Arabidopsis thaliana: one gene and its partner. The protein of the gene in region 1 interacts with the protein of each later gene in a pairwise test. Each region holds a gene or a part of one and is shown on either strand. Other genes may lie near its edges.

Evidence for each region. The genes of interacting proteins can lie anywhere in the genome.
Region 2: the proteins of AT5G09480 (region 1) and AT4G30450 interact in a two-hybrid assay, tested with the Arabidopsis thaliana proteins (one large-scale study listed by BioGRID).

The regions. Positions count from the first base shown.
Region 1 is NC_003076.8:2,949,995-2,954,471, reverse strand, and holds AT5G09480 (hydroxyproline-rich glycoprotein family protein), read left to right. Parts: upstream 1-2,770; 5' UTR 2,771-2,856; coding exon 2,857-3,291; 3' UTR 3,292-3,610; downstream 3,611-4,477. Other genes in the region: AT5G09500 (Ribosomal protein S19 family protein), read left to right, coding at 1-10, 180-428; AT5G09490 (Ribosomal protein S19 family protein), read left to right, coding at 1,289-1,291, 1,389-1,537, 1,625-1,682, 1,846-2,094; DIC3 (dicarboxylate carrier 3), read left to right, coding at 3,959-4,385.
Region 2 is NC_003075.7:14,885,255-14,889,574, reverse strand, and holds AT4G30450 (glycine-rich protein), read left to right. Parts: upstream 1-2,790; 5' UTR 2,791-2,968; coding exon 2,969-3,292; 3' UTR 3,293-3,548; downstream 3,549-4,320. Other genes in the region: AT4G30460 (glycine-rich protein), read left to right, coding at 1-329.

The DNA.
Region 1 (4,477 bases):
GCGGAAAGCGGTACAAAACTCAAACTTCTCCATCAATAATTCTTTGTTCTAACTAGATCTTTGCCCTGGAACGTGTCTTCTTAGATTGTGTCTTCTCAGATTCATGCCTCTCTATATATGATTTTTGCAAGCAAATGGCTTTAAAACGCTAAAGGTTGTGACTCTCTCTGTATGAGCAGAAAATTGAAGCACCAGCTGGAGAGAAGCCAGCAGCAGTGAGAACCCACCTAAGGAACATGATCATTGTGCCTGAAATGATTGGAAGCGTCATCGGTGTTTACAATGGAAAGACTTTTAACCAGGTCGAGATCAAACCAGAGATGATTGGACATTACTTGGCTGAGTTTTCAATCTCATATAAGCCTGTTAAGCATGGTAGGCCTGGTGTTGGTGCTACCAATTCCTCCAGATTTATCCCTCTCAAGTGAATAATCAAGCTCTTGTGGAGTTTTGTTATGCTCTAAATTCGAGTCTTTCGTTTCTTTTTCTTTTAGAACATTTTGTCTTTCTTTTTCTCTTCTCTCCTTTAGATTTTGTTCAAACTCTTGTTCATGCCTTCAAATAATACAGAGCTTTTTATTTATAATCTATTAAACTTTGCTCTGTTTATTGAGTATTACTTTAAATTTAGAAAATAATTCAGGATTTATAGATAGATATCTTTCAATTGCATTTTTAAACTGCATATATTAACTTCAAAAAAAAAAAAAAATCAATATCTGGATTGCTTAGTTTTTTTTCTTTGTATTGCAGATCGATGGTTGTATATTGAAAATAAAAAATAACACAATGACCCTATTTATAAATAGAAGAAAATTTCAATTTCTTTTTTGAAATTCACAAACTATATATCTATTTCTATAAGATATCTGTACATAATTTCCTTGTATTTCGAAGATAAATACAAAATGTATGACCAATTTTATCCTAAATCAGTTAATTTTACATTAAACTAATAATTAAGTTTTGATTTTTTGGGGGAAAATTGTGTATTTATATGTTTTAATTATCAGTTTTTATAAGGTAAGAAAAAAAGAAGTTTTTCTATTATAAGGGAAGAAAAATATTTAAATATTGATTCATATGTTATTTTAGAAAGACAATAATGTAATAATTGGTAAATATTTATTGACGTTTCCTTAAACAGAAACACTGTAGGATCTATAATACATCTGTGTATATATATATATATATATATATATATTGGGTGCCAAGTTATGTCTCTTGTCGTATCTCCATAGCAAAACCCTAGTTGCAGTCACTTTCCCGGCTTCTCAAACCAAGAACAATGGTTAGTTTCTTGATCTCCATCTCTTTAAACCTTAATTATTCGATTGTTAGATCCTTGAACCCATCATGGTCTTAAATTTCTCTGTCGAAATCCGTAGGCTGAAGTCGAACCAGATGTTTCCGCAGCTGCTCTTGCGAAGAAGAGAACGTTCAAAAAGTTTTCCTTCAAAGGAGTCGATCTCGATGCTCTTCTTGACATGCCCACTGATGATCTTGTCGAGCTCTTCCCTTCCCGTATAAGAAGAAGGTTTTGATCCCACCAAAAATTTTGGTAGATTATATAACTCTTGTTTTAAATGATTGGTTTTGTTTAATTATGTTGATTATTTTGTAGGATGAGTAGAGGATTAACGAGGAAGCCTATGGCTCTCATCAAGAAATTGCGCAAAGCGGTAAAACTCTAACTTTCCAATATAAATCTCTGTTGTTATTGTGTCATAGTTGTTATTAGTCTGTGATCTCCCAACATAACAATAATTTTAGTTAGGATCTGCCTTTTGATTGGTTGGCTTTGATTATTATAATAACACTAGTCTCTAATTTACTTTAAACCAGAAACTAGATGCACCAGCTGGTGAGAAGCCCGAAGTAGTGAGAACCCATCTAAGGAACATGGTGATTATGCCTGAAATGATTGGAAGCATCATTGGTGTGTACAATGGAAAGACTTTTAACCAAATCGAGATCAAACCGGAGATGATTGGACATTACCTTGCGGAATTCTCAATCACTTACAAACCCGTTAGGCACGGCAAGCCCGGTCATGGTGCTACACACTCCTCTAGGTTTATCCCTCTCAAGTGAAGCCATTTCAAGACTTCATTCTGCTTTTACAATTTCTTTTGTTTTGCTCATCTAAATCTATCTTCTTATCATCATGTCTCTGACACTCTAGTGTCTTTAAACTTTTCTTATTATCGTAAAAAAAATTCTTGGTGATTTTCTCTATAATACTTAATACCATTATGAGTTTGGACTTGAGTTAGTCTTTAATTTTTTTTTTTTTTTATCTCAGTCTTATTTTTTATTTTATTTTATAAGTCTTAAAATTATTTGATTTTGATCCTTATATATTTTAATAATCTACATAATGCGTAAAAATACACTTTTCACTTGAAACGGTTACAAGATAAAATAATAAAATCATATGTAAATGTATTAATAATGAATGTTCACAGGTAAAGAAGGGGTGATGCATATGAGACGTAAAATACAATATAGGTATTGCTAACTTTAAGATTTCTTGTAATGTTTAGTATCAATAGCTTTAAAACAAGTATATATATTAGGTTCGAAAGTAAACTTAAAAGGGGTTATACAACTAAGACGTATAATGAAATATAGGTGAGTTTGTTGAAGACTAACATCACATTCTCACAATCGTGCAGTGAGATCTTCTCACCAAATTTTTTTGACTCTTATGAATCTACATTCTAAGATCTCTCTCATCTCAATATTATTTAAGAAACCATTCTGTAAACAATATATAGCAAAACACAAACTCTCTATACTCACAACATTGTTTAACTCATCTTTCTAAGTTGGTTTCGATTCAAGAATATCACAATGACTAATGTTCGCCTTCCTATTCTCGTCTCCTCGGTCTTGTTCCTTGTCTTTATTTCATCGTCCCTCTTGTTCCCTACACCTAGTTTTGCTGCTAGAGTAAGTCATTCTCTGGTGCAAGAAGAGGTCAAAAAGGTTCCAGAATACACAGAACCTGAGGAGCCGGAAGTTCCAGAAGAGCCGGAGCTGCCCTCACCGGAGGAGCCTGAGATTCCAGAAGAGCCTGAGATTCCAGAAGAGCCTGAGGTTCCTGGAGAACCCGAAGTTCCTGAAGAGCCCGAAGAACCAGAAGAGCCAGAAGGGTCAACATTTGAATTTCCATCATGGTTTCCGAGCTTTCCTATTCCCGGTGTTAATGGCGGTTTGCCAAAGACTGAAAAGACAAAACCTACATCAACAGTTGAAGAGGTTAACGTTTCTAACAAGAAGCCATAGATCAATGGGTAAAGAACGTCAAATGATTATATAAACTATATATGCAATTATAGTTTTGGTTTGTGTTTGGTTAAAGATGAGAGATTACATATGTATTACAGTATTAGAGTCCTCACCATGTCATGATTGAGTCTCTAAACGCTCCTGATATAATCTCGTACTAATTCTCTCTTGTAATATGTATATCTCTTGTGGTACAAAAAATATATATATAACTCTTAAGTAAATCATGTAATGTAAGATATTTAATTAAAGATATAATGTGTCAATTGTCGGTGTATATGACGTTCGTCTTAATGAAACATCAAATTTTATGAGTAGATGTTAGATATAGAACATTGGTTTCATTGACCAATATTGGTTTATTCCTCTAGCTTCAATTATTCTTTTTCTGTAATGCCAAGGTGTGCATCAAGACAAAACAAGAAACATTGTGCTAAAAGCTGGAACCCGTAATTCAGGACTAGTACACAAACACAACTACTCGTTGCATTATTTTCTTCTCAAGTAGTTTGTCTTCTTCCATTCCAACTTGTTCAATTTCATTTCTTCTTCTCCAAACATTTTATTACAAAAGATCTATTATCTCCCAAACTCTTCTTTTCTTTCAATTCCCATTCCTCAAAACATTCTCTCCTTACAATAAAATCCTCCGGTAATCGTTTCAATGGGCTTCAAACCATTTCTTGAAGGTGGCATCGCCGCAATCATCGCCGGAGCTCTGACTCACCCATTAGACCTCATCAAAGTCCGTATGCAGCTTCAAGGCGAACATTCTTTCTCGCTCGACCAAAACCCTAACCCTAATCTTAGCCTTGATCATAATCTTCCCGTGAAACCTTACCGACCCGTTTTCGCTCTTGACTCTCTCATCGGCAGCATTTCCTTATTACCCTTACACATTCACGCGCCGTCTTCTTCCACGCGCTCCGTCATGACCCCTTTCGCCGTAGGGGCACACATTGTCAAAACCGAAGGACCCGCCGCTCTCTTCTCCGGCGTCTCCGCCACCATCCTCCGTCAGATGCTTTACTCTGCCACCCGTATGGGTATATACGACTTTCTTAAACGAAGGTGGACTGATCAACTCACCGGTAATAATACTAAACTCGATCGGCAACAATATTACTCAAAAAATAATTTTGGTTTTTATTCGGTTTGGTTTGGTTTGATTACACTAAAAGTC
Region 2 (4,320 bases), on another chromosome or scaffold:
GATCCGGATCCGGAGCTGGTGCCGGGTCTGGATCCGGAGGAGGAGGATCAAGCTCTTCTTCCTCATCTAGCTCTAGTTCTTCTTCTAGCTCCGGTGGTGGTGGAGGTGATGCAGGATCCGAAGCTGGATCATACGCCGGATCACATGCCGGGTCTGGTTCGGGAGGACGTTCCGGGTCAGGCCGTGGAAGAGGAAGTGGAGGAGGAGGGGGTCACGGTGGAGGAGGTGGAGGAGGAGGGGGTAGAGGTGGAGGAGGTGGATCCGGTAACGGAGAAGGATACGGTGAAGGCGGTGGATATGGTGGAGGATATGGTGGTGGCGACGACTGAATGAAGAATATTGCATGCATGCAATATTGTGTTTTATACGTAATTATATTATGTTATTAGTATGAGAAAAATAAAATGCTTGAAAAGTAAACTTTCTAAAGTGTGTGAGTACAGGAGATGGAAAAGGAGGAATTCTAATGTGTTTGGTTCGTAATTATATACCCTTCCATATTCGAATTGGATTCTTGGTGTTGTATATGTTTTACTTTTGTACTATAAGTTGTAATTTCCCAATTTAAATGTTATGTACTAATTTTATTTCGTTGTTTCTTCCTTTTTTTCCTTCGGTATATTTCGCTTATAGCAGAAAATAACACACATATATATATATAACGATATAAGTTATAACACAAAATATGATTGTATGTATATCAAACAACTGAAAGAGCAAACACGATTTGGAGACTCGTCGTTCAGCTAAACAAAAAAGACATCAACCAAAAACAAAGTTTATAGCATGAAGCCATGAACACAATTCAGCTCTGTTTTGTTTCTTTTTTGAAGAATTCGATTTGCATTTTTAGGTTTTGTCATGTGTTACGTTCAATATCTTAGATAAAAACATATATGTAAAATAAAAAATGAAAAACGAACCAATCCGTGATATACATAATTTAGATATGTATTATCTGCATAAGAACTTCTGATAACTTAAGAACACCTCTTACAATTTGGGTATAAACTTTAAACTCAAGCATTAGATTTAGAAGTCGTTTACATAATTTAACTAAGCAAACGTGTTTGTATTAGATCCAAAGAATTAAACAGCATGATCGTTATTATAATTAGAACTATAACTTACTATTAGTTGAATCCAGTGACTAAAATAACCTTATTTTAATTTACACCTTTCTTAGTTAAAAAAATAAACCAAACACTGATTCAAAATAGAAAAATAACTGTCAGAGAAGAATTTTCTCTTTAATGACTTTTGTATTCTATATGAGGATTGAACATTATGGGTTATTCATAGCAATAAAAACATAACCAATGTGAATGTATAGTTTCGATCTTTCTCGAACAATGATTTAAGCACGTGTCGTAGGTTGAATAAATAATTCATAGTGGAACCATAGATTAGTGACCTGTACGAGTGATTGGTTTCAGCGTGCAGAATCCACTACCTCGCTTCCACTCAATTTAGTGGACCGTCGACTCTGGTGGGTTTGGTAGCAGCAGAAGATAATGCACACATTACCTGAATCCACATTTTTAAAATATGCACTTGCCAGTTCTATTATCCTGAAAGTTTCGTTAGAATAAAACGCAAGCGAAATAATAATCCTATCAAGCATTTTAGATAATCACTCATTCACTCTATGACTTGTCATTGCTGATTTGCGGTTTGATGCAAAACTGTGGAATATAATGATTTAAAGAAATTTATAATGCGAAAACCTTTTCATCGTCGTGGTAGAAGTGAAACCTCAATTCTTTTTACAAACGCTTTTTTTTTACCTCACCGGTGGTTTAAGAAAACCTTGCGAAATAACATGGATTAAGCTAAGATTTGTTCTTACCTAATTTGTAATTTATCACATTCACACCCCGGATTACAATTTCATTTTGCATATTAATATTGCCAATCAAAACATACATTTAACTAGACTAGAAATGTGTTTAATTAAGTATTCGTAGTTCTCTTATCTAAGGTAGTATGCGTAAACTATAGGGTGAATTTAATATATATGCTCAGAAGAATGAAAAATAAAGAATCTGACCATGAAGTTTTGTTATTTAGTTCTCTTTCATCTGATTCACACTAATGCCAAATATACCCTTCGTCACATATACACGTTAACAAGAAAAATATCAAGATAAAACAATTTATATGCAACAATAAAAAATGAGTTTCGGCGGTAACAAGTTTAGGTAGTTAATTATTTGATTAGTATGATAAACATGTCTTTAAAATATAGTAGCAAGGTGAAAGCACTATTCATCTTACGTCGAAAACATGTTTCTCGTGTTAAATCTTGTATTATATAATATGTATTATATAATAACATATTTATTTATTTTGGTAATTTAATTATTATTGTTAATTTATACATTAACAATTTAGTTATCACCCTAACATGTCTTTTAAAGTGGTAAATTGTATGCTACTTATAGATAACTATTATACATAACGAATTATTATTTTTTATATCATGTTAACATTCAGTAACTAATAAATTAACAATTATCTATTCTTATAACATATTAATTTATGGATTAGCTTATTTATTTATCATGCTAATTTGTTTATCACCGGTAATTTATGAGTTATTATATACGTTAAACTTCTTCTTCTTTTTTTCTTCTCTTTCATTTTCAACTCTTTTTCTCTTACAAGGGTAAAAATGTAAAAACATCACTCTCTATCTTACCTATCTAATTAAGAAAAAAACATGCATATATACTTAATTATTCACTCTTCAATGCATATCCATTATAATTTCTCTAAACTATAATAAAACGAAATATGATAAATGTACGTAGGTTAAATTAATTATGGTGATATACACGTAGCGGCTCACACAATCCCAAAGCTTCTATAAATACACGAACATGTTATTCATTTTTGTACCTAATCAAGTTACACTATAAACTCAAACACATCTATCGGCAAGTCTTAACACACGAAGATTTCCAAAATGGCTAAGGCCGAAGGTCTTTTTCTTCTTGGTTTAGTAGTTATTTCAAGTTTAGTTATGTTAACCGAGAGCCGACTCGCAAGAAAAGACTTGGGGATTGACCTAGGTGGGATTGGAATCGGTTTGGGCGTTGGATTGGGGATTGGTCTTGGCGGCGGGTCGGGCTCCGGTGCTGGTGCAGGTTCTGGATCAGGTTCAGGTTCCAGATCATCATCTAGCTCCAGCTCATCATCAAGTTCGAGTTCTAGTGGTTCGGGTGGTTCAGCTGGTTCATCTGCCGGTTCATTTGCTGGCTCTAGAGCTGGATCAGGATCTGGTAACTAAATTATAATAATTACTTTTCGACTTAAAGTGTGAAACAATAAGTATGTTTTATGTTTTTGGTTCGTCGTAGTTAATATCGTATGTACGGAATGGAATGAATAATTTGTTACCGTAAGTTATGTTTTGTTTGAGCGAGTGTGTGTACCTAGCTTACTCTCTCTATTCAAGTCTTTCACCAAAAGTAGAATCTCTTTAGATTTGGAACAGAACATGTTTGATTAATCGTAAATTATTGGTAATTCGAATTTGAGATTAATCTTCAAAAAAAGAAAACAAGTTTCCAAATTTTTTAATAAGTTAATCAACCCATATGACCCACAGGTTATAGTTACCGGATGAATATGGGACCAGATTTTGATATCAAATATTATTCTCCACATTGAATATAACGTTATATCAATCGAGTTAGTGCATCTAATGATGATAGTATGTATTGTAATAGAAACTTCAATCTTTTTAACGATTGTGTTTGTATACGACACGTTTACAAAACAAAGTTAACATGTTCTTTGTAATCCCCAAGTAAATAAATAGAAACGTCTGGATAGTTTATGAATATGTTCAATATAGATGAACCAAACCGAAAACATCAAAGTTTTGATATGAAATTTAGTTAAAATTTGATTTCTTTTATTTTTATTATGTATCCTCACCATTAACAAGCGTCCACTTGAAGAAGAAAACTAAACCGGGAAACTATTGATTACCAACAAAATTATAAAATACAACAAATAAAATAATAACTTTCTTACAACACAATCCAACATACTCGAAGGCTTACACCAACCTCAGTGTAATTTGGCCTCTCTAGGTATGTCGCAAAACCTAACCCAATGATAAAAGCGTTAAACTATCCTAGTTTTTTTTTTCTCTTTTCTTAATTATTGCTGTTATAATTTCAAAATTACGTATAATATTGAAGCAATGCATTATGACTTAAGCAGGATAGCTTCAAGACAAAGTTTCAAACAATGGTTAAATAGTGCTATGTATAAGTAGCTCGACGGATCTTAATTGCTTACTCCATT